Arabidopsis thaliana: one gene and its partners. The protein of the gene in region 1 purifies or fractionates together with the protein of each later gene. This does not show direct contact. Each region holds a gene or a part of one and is shown on either strand. Other genes may lie near its edges.

Region 1 (7,578 bases):
TTCAAGCTTGGACCTTTGTTGTACTTACGGTCTCAACTAAAATGTATAGTTTTGATCAAATTAAAATACAATGGTGAGCTTTCATAAACCAATAATGTCGAAACTTTGGTATTTCATTTTAAGTTACAAAAATATTAGTTGATTGATAGTATAATCCCTTTTATGTGATGGCGTGTAGCGCCCTTACTCAACCCTTATATTCGGTGGCATTACTTCAATCTCACGTTACTATTAGTCCCCCTCAAGCTTTAAAATTTTCAATTAGTTTTGGTTTTGAATTGATTTAATAATCAATCGATAATTAAAAGAAGATTAGTTTCGACGAAGCTATTTTGTAACCGCATGTTACAGGAAATCATGATTGATATTGATATTAGGAAATTGCTACGTCGCATTACGGGCCCAGTATCTATCTATCTACGCCTATCTGTTGTGAAGAAGGTACCAAATTCTCAACTGGTTTACGTGTACGAATCTCTTCGCTCCACTTAGGAAACTTTTTGATTTCATGTCGGTCACTGAACACTAAAAATAGCATTTGCTGATAATAAGTCATTATCACACTAGTTTAATCAAAAACCTTTTGGGGCATATACGCAACGACAACATCAAAAATCAAAGCTCTTACGAGAATAAAAAAACGAGTGGGTTCCAACACAAAAATTAGAAACAAGAAGTCGGCAACAATTCACTTACTACATACACTAAAAGAAGAAATTTGCTTACCTTAGGGCAGTGTAAAATCAAATCAAGCCTTGAAGAGAATTTCGACTGCTTCAAAGAAGAGAGGAGCGATCTCAGGGGTTGGAGTCTTGACTGCACATTTCAGACCAGGTTGACCCACTATGGCCGTTAGTTCGATCAGGAACGGTATGCCTCTTGGTACCTTGGCCGAAAGATAGAGGACGTCTTGGTTCCCATTCTTACGCTTTGCTATGAAGAACATGTTTGATGCGGCGAGTAAATCAAGTGTTGACTCCACGCTCGTGATGGTTATCCCGGGGAATTCTTTCTGCACCTCGTTTGAATCCGGTAACGATTTCCATGTCTAATCAAAAAAACAAATGTTTTATAACTCAGAAGAACTGGTTTTTAAGACTGTGGTATATAGTTATGATCAGAAATCAATATCTTCCTTCAGTTCTTACTGAGTCTAGAAACTTAAATCGATGAAAACCATATCATATGTTAAGATCTACAGCACCCTAACTCCCCCAGGCTTCTTAAGGCACAAAATCTGTCACTAATTACTCGCCCATCTTAATATCATAAGCCCTCTCCACTATTAGTCAATGACTAACATGGTGCTGTATTGTTAATGAACTCTTTATCATATATTAGTCTTTTACCTCGAGGAAGGTTCCGCGCTCCATCCGACCATCTTCTGAGAAAAGAGCGTTAAGTACAATCTTATCCTCGAAGTACCAGACAGGCTGCTGGTTGTTTTTGACGGCAACTTGCAATACCGAGCTGGTGGAGCCAGTAGACATGTTTTGGGACAATACCATTGGCATCATTGTCCTGGCAGATGCTCCGGGTTGCAGAGGCGGAACCTATAATAGTACAAAACCTGGACATCAGTTTCAGGAATCCAGGATATATAATAGGCGTAGATGTAGAGCATATCCAACTACTATTACCTGAAGTGATCCGACAGCTGCAAGGCCGAATGAGTTTTTGTTGAACTGAATCATGAAGCCATCAAGAAGTGACTGCGAGTTGTTCTCGAGGAGCATACTGTAGAATACTTGACCATCTTGTCGGGTTAATTGAGCGCTAATCTGCAGACCTTGACCCTTTGATGCTGGTAGGACAACAGGCAGTGGACGACTGCAAACAATATTAGGTGATTCAATGAGTTTTATAAACAACAAGGTGATCCAAATAGATATGATTGAATAAAACCAGTCCATCGCACACCCCAACTGTGAGAGAGACTTTTAATGTAATTTTCACCATTCAAAACTCACCCTGACGGAGTTGTGGGTTCATCTACAGGGACGATTGCAGCATTATCTGACCCCATTAGGTCACCTAGCAGATCGGGTACAGGAGCTGGGGCAGCAGCTAGCTTTGTGACATAGCCTGTGGTAGCTGACGGGGAAGCTGCACCATCAACCGGATTACCAGATGCCTCGGGATATCCTGTTTCGCTCCCTTCTACATAATCCTCATCCTCCGTTTTCTGAACTGTGGTTTTCAAGCGGGTTACAAAAGCCTCTGGCGGCTTGTGATACACAGAGGACAAGGTGGATATATTTGCAAGTAGCTCATCCAGGAGCGACGGATCAAGTTGGTTTGAGTCATCAGTAATCACAGGCTTTTCAGCTAAAACAACATCCTTGGCCGCCTATAGTCAAAAGAAGAGCACTGATGACTGTAGGTAAAAGAGATGATTGTTGCTCATCCTCCAATGTCCTTGAACTAGTTTAGTAGAATATATTAAGAAAACATACCTCAGGATCAGTCGATAGAAGACGCCAGTAGATGTATGCACGATCCCTGAGATCAGGATTATCTGTTTCAACAGTAGCATTATTCAAGACAACCTGAAAAATTGAAACATGGCAAAAGCCAGGCCTGTCGTCAAATACATGCGCTTTAATCGATTAGGAGAGCAAAAGGTAGTCTTCATAATGGTCATGGCAGAACCTGAATCATTTGTTGTGGGCCTTCAGTTGGCTTCTTCAGAAATAGTTTGACTGTAGCTGTAAGAAGCTGCAGTTGGACTTGTGCTGGTTCCTCAGGGAAATTCTCCAGGAAGCTTTCAAGAAGTTCATCCGCATTGTCGATTCTTTCAGCATATTCACCAATGATCCAAATCATAGATGCCTTTCAAGATGCCAACAAATACAAGTATGAGTTTCACCGATTATATTTGCGATGGAGAAGCTTCCAGCTAATATACACTACCCAAACGACAAATTTTGTTACCTTAGCTTCTGGTTCATCCAATGTGTCTAGACTCTCACAGAGTGTTGCGATTATGGACTCATACCTGCACATTATTTTAAAAGACATAGCCAAGATTAAAAAGAATTACAGCACTTCAGGAGGCCAAAATCAACTTACGTATTTGGATATCTTCTAAAGATATCTTTGATGACTATAATGGCCTCCTGCACAACGTAGTTTACTTTGATCTTGATCAGCTCAAGTAAAACACTGATGCACCGTTCAGCTGCTCTTTCTAGTTTGATGGCACATCGGCCTATAGCACGAACAGCCTTCCGAACAAAATCAACATCTACTTCCGTGGCATATTCTTTGAACTCCAGAAGAACCTACATTGGAATGGTCTAGAAACCATCATGATGTGCACCAAAACAAAATAACTTGGACAAACGGCAGATGATAAAAGTGTAGTAAGGATTACCTGGTCTATGTTTCTGTCAGAAGCAAGTTTTATCATAATCTCTAACTTCTCCATCTTAACATATATCGGATCATTATACTTGCAGAAGAACACCTGCAATAAAACCATGAAGCATTATCAACAAATATAAGAATATATCAATTGCTTATTTCGGAGAGTCTACGAGACAGGATCAAGCTACCTTGATTTCATGGGCAAGAATAGTGGGTCTCTTTTGGACAATAAGGTTAATGTTACGAAGTGCAACATACTGTATCTCAGGTTCTGCAGAAAGCAATGTAACTAGGGGAGGAGCCATCTTCTTGCAAAGATTTCGAATCACATCTGTGCTAGTAATAAGCTCCATCTGCTGAAGGATCATCTGGAAAGCAATGAAATAAAGAGGACTGGCATTAGAAAATTATGTAAGGGAATATAGTTGACACTTCATAAACAATTTTGACTGGCGAACAGGTGACATTCCAGAGAGAAGTATATATTTTGAAAGTGTCACCTTAACAGCTGAAAGCACAACAGCACAGTTGGCATGTTGCAACCTTGGAGTGACTCTCTCAACAATATTTTCAGCTTCACGAGGATCAGATGCCTTATACCTCGACAAAGCATCTAATATAAAAACTTGACCCCATCTGTGAAGAACACAAACAGTATTAAAAATTGAAAGCTATAAATATGTATACAGCAAAAGGAAACAATAGTCGCTTTATGGATCCCTTTCCCCAATGTTCAAAACCATGAGTCCTTTATCTACACAGAAAACCTTCAACTTCAATAACAACAAAGTTCTGTCACAATTTTAGGTTAGATACAGAACAAAATGCATAGATAAACTGATGCTTTAACACAAGAAGCAAGTCCGCAACTCAACAGATTATCCTACTGTGAATATTTAGGCCAGCCTGTCTGTTCTCCGAAAACAAAACCTAATATGATCTGACTAAAATTAGTCAATCATACACAATCTGAGTGAAAGTAAGAGATGGAAATCAGGAACGACTTACTCAGTACATTCATTCAAAGCTGTAAGGAGCTTTGTGAGGATGGTACTATTGATTTCAAATATGGGACTAGTACTATTCTCTTGGATCTCTGCAAGGGCAGCTACAGCATTTGCCACAACCATTGGATTATTGTCTGATATTAAATCCTTTAAGGCTTCCAGGAACCCCCTATCCTCAACTAATTCAGCATTTATGTCAAACAGTTTAGCAACACAAATAGCTGCTGTCTTGCGGACATATGGATCATCATCCTGAAAAATAAAAAAATTGCAACATGCCAGAAAATACAGAAATATGTCATCAGTCAAAGAATAAAAAAATTCTTGAGGGACATAAATATTTGCTACAAGGTGCAGTGACAAGGTAGCATTAAAAACTCAACCTTTAGGCATTTCTGAAGAGGATCACACAAATATTCTGTAATCTTATCAACACGAATACAGCCCATCGTTCGCACAGCCAAAGCCCGGATCAATGGATTTGGGTCTTGTGAATCCTGCCAAATACAAAGCGAGAACTTAATAACGATGAGTTTCTTAAATAATTTTCCATCCACCAAAATCAGAGAAAGACCAAGAAACTTGCCATATGTTAGGTCTTTATGTTTGGGTAGGCTATATAAGCAAAGTAGCTGAAGTGTTACCTTAACAAAAGTATTTACAGCGAGGATAGCAAGATCTGGCTGGCTTTTTGCATAGTTTATCAGATACAAGTAAACAAGCTTCTTCAACTCCAGATTCTCAGTTTGCATGCAATTGACTACATCAGTGAAAAGTGATGAAACATCCTTTCCAACAGTCATTGCCGCAATAACCTTCTTAACAGCATCTTTCCTCTTATCCTAGGAACATAAAGAAAAAAAGAGAATTTAGGAAACTGAAGCAAAAACGCATTCCATCATCTTCAATCAGTACCATATACAACCATTGGACCATCTACTCAAAGAAGAACTGTTTCTATCGCCCAACCACTGCATTGATCCATATTCAAAACTTATGATCCCCCAATCTAAACACATCCCCGCATTAACCATTATTCTGAATTTCATTCCATTTCTACATAGTTTCAAATGAACCATTGAACACATAACATTATAACGTACACCATCATCAATCTTTCAAACTAAAATATCAACAAAATTAACCGATCAATTCGAATCCATAATCATACAGATCTACCAGAAAATGATTATGCATAATTCAACGAACGAGAAAGAGATGAGATTAGAATCGTGAAAATGGCGGATCACAGATCCATATATGAAATTAGACGGAGAAGAAGAACCTTGTACTGTGAATTCAGCTCTTCCTTGAGCTCAGGGATCTCTCCCTTCTTCGTAGTCGAAAAATATTTAGAATCATGACCGCTCATTTTCTCCCTTCTTCAACCTCCACACTTCTTCTCCTCCGAGACGATCAGTGACAAGAGACACAAAGACACGAAATTGCAAAAAGTAATAGGTCGGGGTTAAAATAAAACTAATTACAGTTTAACCCTAGTATTATTGATATTTGACGAAATTGCCTCGTGACTTCGTCTAGTCAACGCCAGTTGCCATCCAGGGGAGGGGAGAAGAAGAATTTGTATTCTCAAGTTGTCGATATGAGAGAGATGAAGTCAGAAACACGTTTGTGAGAGAACAGCTTTTAGATGTGATTGTGGATCAGATTCTCAAAGACTTTTCGCGAAGAGTCTCTGATCCTTAAATCGCTTCTCTCTCGCTTGACCTCATTTCGTCGTCGAAATCAGATCCTTGTGAAAATGCCGAAACAGGATATGGAGAAGATGGAGCTTCGTAAGAACTTCCGTAATGTTTGGCATACCGATCTTACCCACAGTATCCAGAACGATACTCCTTGTAATTTCTCACTCTCTCTTTTTGAAATTTGTGGGTTGGATTGGTTTTGGTTGTTGATTTGATCGATTTCTGTGTTGTTCGCAGATTGTTGCTTCGCGTTGTGGTGGTAAGTTTCGATTGATCTGAGATTTTTCGTTGCTTGTTCTCTCTGTATTTGGAATTTGGATATTTGTAGTAGTCGGATCTTGGTTTATTTGAATTGACCAAGAGTTGACTTCGATTTAAATTCTTAGATCGGCTTGATTTTCATTTCATCAAGAAATGTGTATGGAGTGATCTGAATTTCACAGATAATATGAGTTTCTCTGATCATTGTATGTGATAATTTCAGTGCATTAGGAGTTTGACATTGTATGATTTGTGTATCTCTTTGGGTCTGATATGTTTAGCATACATATGGAAATGTCTTGTTTCTTCTTCTTCTCATTGCAGTGCCCCTTGTGCATCATACTTGCTTCGCAAGCGTGCGCTTTACGATGATATGTCAAGGTATATCACACATTCAGTCACTTTCATATAGCTCCATTCCAATTCCATCTTCTTAGTTTAAGAAGATTGTTTTTTTTGTCTCGCAGGTACGTCTGCTGTGCCGGTTACATGCCTTGTAGTGGTAGGTGTGGAGAAGCCAAATGTCCTCAACTTTGTCTTGCCACTGAGGTAAGAAACTTGATTTTGTTAGCTATTATCTTCAAATGAAGTCTTTTTTTTTTTTGGACAACAAAAATGAAGTCTTTTCTATAGACACAGCTAGTCTAGAAATTTCGATTTCAGCATCTGAATGCTTCCTGTAGCATATGCATACAATCTCAGTCATACCTAGGTGTGACTTGTGAGGCAACCTCGCGAAATTTTAGCAAATTTCTGGTCTTCTAAATAGCAGATCAATCGCAGGTCTTCTGCTGCTTTGCAAACTCTGTGGCCTCAACTCGCTTTCTTCTGCAAGATGAGTTCCAAATTCAAACGACAAAATGTGACAACTGCATCATTGTAAGTATCCTCATTGCCCAGACCATGCCTGTTACTGACACTCACAAGCAATTACAAACACGATAAACAAGTTTCGTAATCTGTGCTGGCTTTTTGGCTGTGTAGGGTTTCATGGTTTGCCTCAGCCAAGTGGCTTGCATATTCTCCATAGTTGCATGTATTGTCGGTATGGATGAGCTTTCAGAAGCTTCTCAGATACTCACATGTTGCTCTGACATGGTGTACTGCACGTAAGAATCCCCCATCCAAAGTGCCATTCTTATAAGTTTCGATCAAAACCCAATTTTAACCTATTGTCCTGATATATCGTACTTTGCTTGGTCTGCAGGGTTTGCGCATGTATGCAGGTACGAGCA
Region 2 (5,153 bases), on another chromosome or scaffold:
CACCCAGCTTGTGGATTTCAGAATACCGACGAGGTGATCCCAATCGATGGAGAAGCAGTTCAATAGAATCATGTTTGTTGTCTTAGACCATATTTGAGTTGCATGTGAGTAGCAAAGTATCCATGATATCTGGTGTCTTGTGGGCAGAGAGCCACATGACACAGTCCAAAGAACCACCATGACCACATTTGCCATAAGCGAAGTTATAGAAATTCGATCATGCATAACCAACCACGAGTGAAAGACGTACTTGGGTGTAGCTTTGATAGTCTATTACTTTTACAATTTCCCGTTTGTTTCTGAAGAATTAGTAGACTTACAAAAGATTTTAACGATCTATGTTATGTGTAAAAACCTTCGAAGTTCGAACTATTCTCAAGTAAAATTTGTTTTCATTAACATATTACACCCGATTCTACTACTAAAAAGAATCCGACTGCTTTCACAAATACTCTATCACGTTCGATTACACCAGAATTAATCTAAACTATATCTCGTACAATTTCACAAACAGAGAAAGAAAGAAAAACAGAATTCAATACCAAATTAAGACATAAGAAATCATATTAACACAGATATCTCTAATCGACAAAACAAACATAAAACAAGGTATAAAACATATTTAACTCTTTTGTTTTTGTTTTGCATAAGGAACAAAAAACTAGAAGCCATGAAACTTTTAAGTCTGATGTCACTGAACCTGAACTGTGTTTAATGTTCAGCATCTGATCTCGTAAGATCCCGCTTTCGTTATGTATCGAACCCACTCGACCGTGTTGTAACCGCTCTTCTCCCAAACCTGCCAATCGTTCCGGATAGTCAGGTCCAAAAAAGTAGTATAGCAATCAATTTTTGAAAGACCAGAGACAGATTAACCAAAACGCAAATCACATAAAAGATTTGAACGGATTTAATGACACAATGGCTTAGAGATTCTGCTACTTAGCATTGCATTTTTTGGAAGGATGGTACTTTCAAAAGCATAGATAACAATGCGTACCTTGAGAAAACGAACTCGCAGACCAGATGCTGTGAACATTGGCACCTAGAAAAGAACAAAGCTGAGACGGTTAATAATTGCTTTAAGCAAATCTGGTTCTATTTAACAGTGCCTAAAAGAGACAAAGACTGACCTGAAATTCCATTTGGATCGGTGGCCTTGTCCAAGATTTCTTCTCTCCCATTGTTGAGATCAACTCAATTTCTGCACTTAGCGTGGACTCTGTTTGCCCTGGGAATTTTCTTATCCTAAAGAGTAAAAGAGAGAAAGATGCCGAATGATTGATAAAACACCAACAAAAGAATTATAGAGATGAATATGAGGGGAAATTATATAAACTCACTTCCAAACCAAGCAATCGATTGATGGATTGTATTTAGCGCGACCAGTTGTCACTTGGAAATTGGTCTTGGCTGTTTGTTTTGGCACTGGAATTTTAACCACGACCCCAAGGGCAAACATTTTAGCACCAAACACACTTTTGACCTGAACAGACAAAACACGGGAAGGGATTGTAAGAGAGCAAAGATCAAGCCAATTTTTTTGTATCCTGTAATCCTTGAGAAAAGTTATGTACCTTGACATTTACTTCCATACGTGTACGACCAAGTTCTTTGATTGTTGGTAATACACGGAAAGGCAGATTTACACCCTCTGTTATTCGATACCTGAGACATCATAAAGTTAATACACATTTGGTACCAGAACAATTTGCAACAGTGGACATTCGAAAACTTACTTCATCAGTTCAAACTCTCCATCCGGTGGTACAAAACTAACAGTCTTCTCGGAGTTGAATCTGGTCAGGTTCACACACTGGTGAAATGTGACATCATCAAGCTCAATGGTTTTACCACTGCACAAAACGAGAGTCAGTTAGCACAAAGAAAAGTCAGTGGCTACTGATGTTCAATGTATTAACAACGTATACCTCTTAGCTGGGCGAGATTTCATTTCTGATTCCTTCTCAAGACCAATTTTATCATTCAACCCCAACTTCAAATCAGGCATTCCCGAAAGGAAACATTTCATTAAAACCTTCCCCGTCACATCACACCGAAGAACATTGCCTAACCGTTTCCATAAAATGCAAAACCAGTCATACACAGCAAATCAACAAGAAAGACAACTTCAAAAAACTTCATAAAAGGCAATTATTTACCTTTAGAGGACATCAGAAGGTTTACACTTTCCACAATATCCAGAAACACCTGCGTTTGAGAGAATGCAAAATATCATCACTACCGCACAACCTAGCCGATCTACATACACACAGAAAGAAACTCAACACTCACCTCATTCTTTTTGTAAGCAAGGCCCTCTCTTCTCCAACCAACAGCACCTGTAACTTGTAATGTTGCATTTGGAACAGGTTTGTCTTTTGGCTGTAATGAAAAGAAGCTTATGAATGCAAACATATCTAGTGAAGAAGCAACATAATCTCTATTTATTGCGGGAAATACTGCTTAACTTCGAAGAACCACACACCAACACAATTACAAAATCTGTTGTATACACAAACAAATAGATGCCTTTACCTTCGATGAAAATGGTGACCGTACACCTTCCTGAGTGATATAAAGTTTTAAAATTTCAGGTGAGAGATTTTGTGGATAGCCAAAGTCCATAATCTCTGCAATTCAATACAAAATATCATTCATTGGTGTTACCACAAAATAGAATAACATATAACGACTAATGCAACTTTACAAGTGATAAGAAAGTGATTTGATCATGACCCTATCAGGCTTACTTACCATCCAACAATTCATAAATCAGAACAAAGTTATTTCTAATAGCGTCTTCATCAAAAGCTCCACCAAAGTATGATTTGAACAAAGCTACAGCCTGAAAATGTGAATCAAAAGCAGTATGTGTATAGAATCAATCTGACTCTCTTGAAATTTGAACAAGAATCAAAACAATTGTGGAATATTAAAATGAAACACAAAAACAAGTTTACCTCAACAACAAATTTGAATCCACAAGCAACATTAGCATTGCTACTGACAACAATGACGATGTAGACATTGCTGATTCGCATATAAACAAAGGAGCAGCCACCAATCTGACGCACAGGACAATTCCCTAACTCTTTCGTCTGCATTATATGCGTACGAAATGCATCCACCATGTTTCCCCTAAGTATCAAAATCAAATCAAAATTTTAAAATCTCAAATCTCACAGCTAAAATCCTACAAAGTACGACTACTTAGAAGCGATAAGAACAAAACATGGAGCTGAAAATGAAGCCGAATTCAAAAAATTAAAGAGATCGACGGTGAAGAAAAGGAGAAGCTCTCTTACCCGACGTCATCTCGGTAGGTGCGATTTATGAGTACATCGCCACGGAGATTCAGAAAATAGATGGCGGAAGCAGCCACCGGCATCTTCGATCTGAGATTCGAAACGCAGATCGGATAATTAGACGATCTGGTTACAGGAGATTTGAGATTTGAGGTTCGACGAGATCTCGACGACGGAGCAAAGGAAGAAGACGACGACGAAGAAGTTGAACAACTGAAATGCGATATTTTTTTAATTTCTTTTTTATCAAAAAATAGAAACAAAATTGAATTCAGTCGTCATTTTGGAATGGGCCGGTCTTATTCGATTCTGGGCCTGTGCGTCTCAATTATGGGCCTGTAGTACATTATATCCTTCATCATTTTTAATTGTTGTTTACATATGAAGAATGGTTAGGTAACAAACAATGTATAGAAGTTCTTAATTTTCAATTATTAACACTAGGTGATCACCTGCGCTACGCCGCGGTATTTTCGGATTTTTTTCGTATTGTTTAATTTAAATATAATTTTTATTTATCTAATTATTCACTTATACAATAAACAATTCCTTTTAATTTTAAAAATATTTTTTCTAACAACATTCTCAACAATGCATCATACACATAATTCATAAATAACGTTTGTATTAAACCAACTTAAGAGAGGGTAGTTTTGGATTCTAGAAACCTAAGAATTTGATGATGGAGCTCCTTACGTATTCTTCAACCTCAATGATTTATTGTATAAATATAAATTTAAGAGAATATAATATCAATTTAAGAAAATAACTTACTCAAATCATTAAATAATCCACGACTATTATATACTCATACTTTGAGTTTGGATTACAAAAAAAAATCTTCGAGTATGAGAAAACTATTAAATGGTTTTATTGAAAAATCATGTAATATTAAAATAAATTTAGTAATACTATAATTAAATATGTAAAATTAAATAATAAATATATCATTAACTTATAAATTAGAAGTTGAAGAGCTTACATTAATTACTTAATAGACACATGGCAAATGCTAAAATGATGATGTGTCAATCATTTGGAGAGAGTTAGCCAACTTTCATATATATGATTAACACGAAACTTTTCGAATTTTTTTTGTTCAATTCTCTCTGATGTCAGTGATGTGTAAAAGTAAAACTGTAAATGATCGCAATTTTTTTTTTTGTTCACTCACGAGAGAAAAAAAAAATGTGGAATATTTATTTAGTATATTAATAGAAACCGCGCCGTTAATGATAAAAAGAAGATCTTGCTCGATCCGTCTTTGATCCAAAAAAAAATTCATCTTTCTATAATTTGTTGCAGTGCATAAGAAGATTAACACAGTGTTCACGAGAGAGAGAGATTAAAGACAGAGATTTCTGGGTTTTAACAGTAGGAAATGAATATTGTTGGATTAAGAAGCGATCGGAGAAAGTAGCAAAAATCGGGAGAGGAAAGGGATATTCGAAAACCCTAATTTTGGAAGATCATTCATTTGAGAGAAAAGCTGTTAAATTTGAGGGCTTTAGATCGAATTTGATATCTGGGGTTAATGGGTTTTTTGAAGAAGTTAACGGGTATACTTGGTTTTGGTCATAACGATGGTGGTGGTGGTCATGGAGCTGTGAGAGATGAAGATGGTGATGGTGGAGATAACAACACTGGAACTGTTTCTGGTGATGGAGATAAACGTCGGGAAGAGAATCAGACGAGATTTCGTGAAACTGGACCAAGGAAAGGTTTTGGTGTACCGGTTCAAGTTGCTGTTGAACGGTCGAATCCTGGTCCTATTCTTCAGCCTTGTGCTGCTTTAGACGGTGGTGTTCAGGTCAGTTTTCCTTTTTGACTGATGATATTGGTTAG
Region 3 (4,901 bases), on another chromosome or scaffold:
AAAAATAGGTGCCCACTAGTAAAATTCATGGTATCAACATTTCCCCAGCTATCCGACGAACTTACCAGGGATAGAGCTTCAAACAGCACAGCATGAGACGCATTGTTTTTATTCACATTTTTCACAACATCTGTCCCCATCAATATTCGCTGAAGGACCTGAAATTTCCATGAAATGCCATGCCATGAGAGGAAATTCAAAGACATATATTACAGATTTACACATGAAAATATTGAACCTCAAACAGAGCTTTTCTGGTACTGGGATCTTCAATGGTCGGGAAATATTGAAGAGCCCTCATTGCCTTAACCTGTACTAACCAAAGATATATAAGTATCCACGATATCTTTAACTGAGTAACAAAAATACACCAAAGCTGGGCCAAGCCTCTATTTTCATAAGCTAATTTCACATAAAATGTTTAAAATGCACAGGATTTGTGAAAAGGATGCGATTAAAGAATATTTAAGCTATTAAACAAGAGTGAATAAGCCGAGTTAAGTCAAACCTGGAGCCAAGGAGATGGGATGCCATAGTATGTGTACTCCTGAGGAACATCTTGGTTCCTAGCAAGGCGTTCTAATATTTTGACACATTTAGGTAGACAACTTGAGTACGCCTCATGATTATTAGATACCAGAGCTACAAGAAGACTCGTAGAAGACGTCAAGACACCAAGATCTCGTTCATCCAAAAGTTGTGCCATACGATCCGCCCTGGAAGTATACGACAAAGAGAATATGAAAGATGCACTAGTAAAATCAAAGAACCAGTAACCCCACAGTGTTATACACACCAGCCATCCACGTTGACAGCATCAGGATTTTTTCGGAATAAGCGCAGTAGGCACAGTGCTGCTTTTTTCCTTACAAGAGGTCTGCAACTACTAGAAATCTGCAGCAAAGAGACCCCATAACATAATATGTTTAGTAATATTGGAAAAAAATATAACCTCTCATCTTTAGGAGTCACTTACAAGTAGCTTTTGAACATCAGGTGCCAATGATTCAGCAAAATCCCTTCCACCGATATTTCCAACCTACAGGAGAACGTAAGCATGGCAAGGTAAGAAAGCTAGAAAGAAAGGACCAGTTTCATGAAGTAAGTGGCTCTGAATCGTGAAATGATAGAGCACAAAAGACATAATGTACCAAAGACTTCCATTAAAACAGTCATTTAACAACATCTTATAATCAGAAGAACCTAACTATGCTCTAAAATCTCAATACAGGGTGGACAAAAGACCACATACCAAGGTCAGTGCTAGGCACTGGAAAGTCTCATTCCGACCAATAATATCGTTCCGCACTGTATTTATTGCCAACTTCAAAAAGTCATGGTTCTCATTGAGCAAGCAAGATGTAACAATGTAGCCAACCTGTAATCATGGATGAAAAGTTCAATACCTGCAAATTAGTTAAGGAGCATGAAACAATATAAATTGGAAATACAAACCCTTGAGATACAATGCATGGTTCTGGTTAAGAGTTTCTAAGATGTTACTAAGTAACTCGTGCTTATAAGTAATTGTCTGCAATACTTTCCCAGGTCAAGTCAAGTTGCAAACGCATGAAATGGTATCTAGATCTAACTGTGTGATCTTCAATGAAACTTTCTTTGTTTCAGCTTGATCAATAGAATATATTTCAGCAAACACCTCCATCTATTATCTTCTCCTAGCCTTACAAAGAAAAATTTCTTTGTTTGAGCAAACAAAACGTTGGTTTACCTGCTTTTCTGGATACTTTGGCGCAGATATAAGAGAAACCGCCTCCATATGGCCAAAATCCACATCGTAGCCTAGCATATGTATATAAAGCATTTTCCAGACATATTTCTTCTTTTTATATGGTGTCAAAACCTGCAAAAATAAAACAGAATGTCAAGTAATCAAAGAGTTCTTGATTAATTCATTTCTAACATGAACCCCGAAAAAGAATAAGTTTAATGTTGGTCCAACTGGAAACACATGGATCCACTACAGGCCTGCTACAGCTCTGCTACGTGTAAGATGGAACAAGAATTTCACTCCAGAAGTTCTTACAGCAACAAAGCTTAATCTACTTCGTAATGAGCTATTCAAAATTTTCCGTGACCATGATTTAATTTCTTAGACCATCACTACATAACCGAATTTACTGCCAGACCATTCTTTTCTTCTAGTTCCTAAATGTCATCATATATTCAGTAATGAAATTCCAAGTTGAAAGCAATAGTAGTGATGTTTCAAAAGGTAGAATAATTGCTAATCTACAAGGATTTGAGCTAGCTATACAACGGCAACATTATACTGCCTATCTATTTTCACAATTGGTGTTAAATCAAAATTTATTGCCTCAATCCGATAAAGTAAGAAACTACAAGCTCCAAAACTATCCACTCGGCATGTGACCAGTGACTGTATCTTTGTTTCATCTACATTCTTATCTAACTCCCTAATCAACCTAATAGCTCTAACATTCGATTGCATTGGCATTGCAACTGCGAAGGATAAATCTCCAATATCTCTAATAAACCAAAACCTCAGCGGATACTCGACACTGAATTACCTCTCTAATGAGAATCAAAACATAGAAAATAGAATGGAGAGAATTGAGAGTAACCTTCTCATTCTTGAAGCATGTACGAATGTTTCCGAGCTCCTTATCAACTCGTAGTCTCTCCGCTTCCTTGTTCTGGCAATTACGAACGTCGCTGATAAATACGGAGAGACCTCTCATTCCGGTCATGGTTGAACCAAATCCTCAAATCCACCGTGCTCCGCCGCCTCACACGGCGCAGATCCAAACTCGCGGCACCGGATCTAACTACGAGATAAACCACAGACTAAAGCTGAAGCATAAGCAATTCGAGAGAGGTGAGATCGAAATCCCAATCTAGAAACGGAAAATGGCACCTTCAATCGAAGAAATTCAAAAGGAGAGACTGATCTTTGGAGAAGAGAGACACGCCTGCGGGAGAGAGACGAGAGACGACTTTTATTTTTCTTTATTTACAACTTTGACTATTCAATTTTGTGTAATTCAGTTTTTGTCTGTTTTGAAATTGGAATCCGAAATTGACCCGTCGAAAAACAGAATTAACGCGTCTAGACATTTGGACTAAATTTGAGGATTTATAAGTTTGCGTAATATTTTGTTAAAAAGTGTATCCTTCTGCCTTTTTGGGTAATATTTATTTACTGCTGTTTCTGGTTTCACTTTTTCATTTATTTTTAAAATGACTGTTTTCTGTCGCGGTCAATGCATTCAGTTGTAATTCAATGTACCATGAGAAAATCCTTAACAAAAAAAATGTACCATGAGAAAATCCGGTTATGAATTCGGGTCAGGTCAGGTCATGCAATGGTTTAGCTGGTCCCAACTTTTTTTTTTTTTTTTTCGTCAGACATGGTATTTGTTGGTATTAGTGGGAACGAAACAAATGGTTTATACGCAGTGCTGATTTGATTATTTTTTGTTATGAGCATTTTATAATTTTACTCAATGTATTATGAAATCTTTTGAATAAAGATTTTAGATACTCTATATTTCAGATAACAATTTTGCTAGAATCATTGCAACCAAATTACTCTGGTGAATAGGAAAGTATTGTCACTACTCTCGTTTTTGAAATACTAAATGTGTCTCATAACAAGATCATAATCTACAAGACGATGAATAGGACGAATTGTTGAGCTAGAAAAGCAGTGACGGCGATAGCGTATGCTCCTAGGATGTTGTTGTTTGGCAGTTTGAGTATCGAACTCGTAAACTTATATAACTAATGGAAGCACCAACCATTAAACTACAAGGCTTTTATATGATTGTGATGATAAAGCATCAGCTTGCTGGGCTTTAGATTTGGGTCGGCCCTGCTTATTGAACATTTTTAGTTTTATGGAAGATATTGTCCCTTTGCGTTAGCAACATCGGCTGATTTCTTAGGTATTTCGAACAGCTCCAATATCTCGGTTGAGTTTTTCTTCAAGGCATGACAAATTTTAGGGTATTCGATACTTTAAGAGAAGTTGCTTCTTCAACTTGAGCGACATTGATGTTGGTGAAGCAAACTTGCAAAAGTCAGACTTACTCAAATTTTGCTTAATCACTCTTGTTTCACAAGCCCCGGATCTAGGGTTCTTATATTTTTTTTTATTTGCAAAATTACAAATGATATAGTAATATAAAAAAATCATACTTTTGTCAATTACAAATTATGTAGTAAAAACAAAAAAAAATCATGCAAAAATTGATAAAACAGCTTTTAAATCCATAAGCAGTTTGTAAGAAAATTAAAAATAGTAAAAAAAAAATTTTCTTTCAATTATATTCTTCAAAGTAATAGTAAAAATCTGGTTGTATATATGTCGGTTGAATGTCCCACCAAGGCCAAGTCCCCACTCTATTCACACCTCAAATTAGATCAGGTTTTTACAGGTGAAATGCTATGCGTTGGATGTGTTTTTGCAATTTCCCCCCTTTATGACAACATTAAAATCTCTCAATGTGAAGGCTGGTGCGAAAAAACAGACCTCCCATCAGAAAACTCATGGAGAAACAGATTGAAAATATATAGGCACAAGAACAAGCTGATACAACCACTGACCTCACAATACAAATGTTCAGAATGAATGCAAAATTTCTTACCTAACGCAACCCGCCCGCTTTGGATAAACGGCACAAATATAATCAAAACTAGCTTTTTTCTCTCCCTTGGCTCTACATTTACTCTCCCATCATTCCATATTTTCGCCATTACATTCTACAATAACAGAAAACAAACTTTTCGACATGTGCAAGTAATCTTTTATCCCAATGAATTTAAAGTAAGCCAGCAAGCATAGCTCCTGGATCATCAGCTAAAGCCGCTGGGCTAGGCGGTTGAACTGCTGGTGATGGTGCTGGACCTGCTGCTGGAAC

The links. The genes of interacting proteins can lie anywhere in the genome.
Region 2: the proteins of AT4G23460 (region 1) and AT5G46630 purify together in Arabidopsis thaliana (affinity purification with mass spectrometry; 2 studies listed by BioGRID, with this or other methods). This does not show direct contact.
Region 3: the proteins of AT4G23460 (region 1) and alpha-ADR purify together in Arabidopsis thaliana (affinity purification with mass spectrometry; 2 studies listed by BioGRID, with this or other methods). This does not show direct contact.

Annotation. Positions count from the first base shown.
Region 1 is NC_003075.7:12,243,151-12,250,728, forward strand, and holds AT4G23460 (Adaptin family protein), read right to left. Parts: upstream 5,869-7,578; 5' UTR 5,749-5,868; coding exon 5,662-5,748; intron 5,219-5,661; coding exon 5,021-5,218; intron 4,986-5,020; exon of another isoform or gene 4,966-4,985; coding exon of another isoform or gene 4,963-4,965; intron 4,874-4,962; coding exon 4,760-4,873; intron 4,629-4,759; coding exon 4,378-4,628; intron 4,006-4,377; coding exon 3,870-4,005; intron 3,738-3,869; coding exon 3,558-3,737; intron 3,470-3,557; coding exon 3,377-3,469; intron 3,285-3,376; coding exon 3,073-3,284; intron 2,999-3,072; coding exon 2,935-2,998; intron 2,833-2,934; coding exon 2,653-2,832; intron 2,550-2,652; coding exon 2,457-2,549; intron 2,351-2,456; coding exon 1,971-2,350; intron 1,831-1,970; coding exon 1,641-1,830; intron 1,554-1,640; coding exon 1,350-1,553; intron 1,049-1,349; coding exon 749-1,048; 3' UTR 521-748; downstream 1-520. Other genes in the region: AT4G23470 (PLAC8 family protein), read left to right, coding at 6,139-6,235, 6,320-6,341, 6,668-6,724, 6,811-6,892, 7,127-7,222, 7,328-7,452, 7,551-7,569. UniProt on the Arabidopsis thaliana protein: Subunit of clathrin-associated adaptor protein complex that plays a role in protein sorting in the late-Golgi/trans-Golgi network (TGN) and/or endosomes.
Region 2 is NC_003076.8:18,918,818-18,923,970, reverse strand, and holds AT5G46630 (Clathrin adaptor complexes medium subunit family protein), read right to left. Parts: upstream 3,534-5,153; 5' UTR 3,392-3,533; coding exon 3,309-3,391; intron 3,142-3,308; coding exon 2,964-3,141; intron 2,849-2,963; coding exon 2,758-2,848; intron 2,634-2,757; coding exon 2,539-2,633; intron 2,386-2,538; coding exon 2,296-2,385; intron 2,212-2,295; coding exon 2,163-2,211; intron 2,071-2,162; coding exon 1,932-2,070; intron 1,857-1,931; coding exon 1,740-1,856; intron 1,669-1,739; coding exon 1,578-1,668; intron 1,487-1,577; coding exon 1,344-1,486; intron 1,249-1,343; coding exon 1,134-1,248; intron 1,046-1,133; coding exon 911-1,045; 3' UTR 800-910; coding exon of another isoform or gene 719-799; 3' UTR 526-718; downstream 1-525. Other genes in the region: AT5G46620 (uncharacterized protein), read left to right, coding at 4,843-5,118. UniProt on the Arabidopsis thaliana protein: Subunit of the adaptor protein complex 2 (AP-2). Adaptor protein complexes function in protein transport via transport vesicles in different membrane traffic pathways.
Region 3 is NC_003076.8:7,585,298-7,590,198, forward strand, and holds the start of alpha-ADR (alpha-adaptin), read right to left. Parts: upstream 3,026-4,901; 5' UTR 2,730-3,025; coding exon 2,604-2,729; intron 1,862-2,603; coding exon 1,730-1,861; intron 1,379-1,729; coding exon 1,253-1,378; intron 1,040-1,252; coding exon 977-1,039; intron 895-976; coding exon 797-894; intron 717-796; coding exon 509-716; intron 311-508; coding exon 239-310; intron 159-238; coding exon 66-158; intron 1-65. Other genes in the region: AT5G22785 (uncharacterized protein), read left to right, coding at 4,346-4,408, 4,419-4,547; AT5G22780 (Adaptor protein complex AP-2, alpha subunit), read right to left, coding at 4,803-4,901. UniProt on the Arabidopsis thaliana protein: Subunit of the adaptor protein complex 2 (AP-2). Adaptor protein complexes function in protein transport via transport vesicles in different membrane traffic pathways.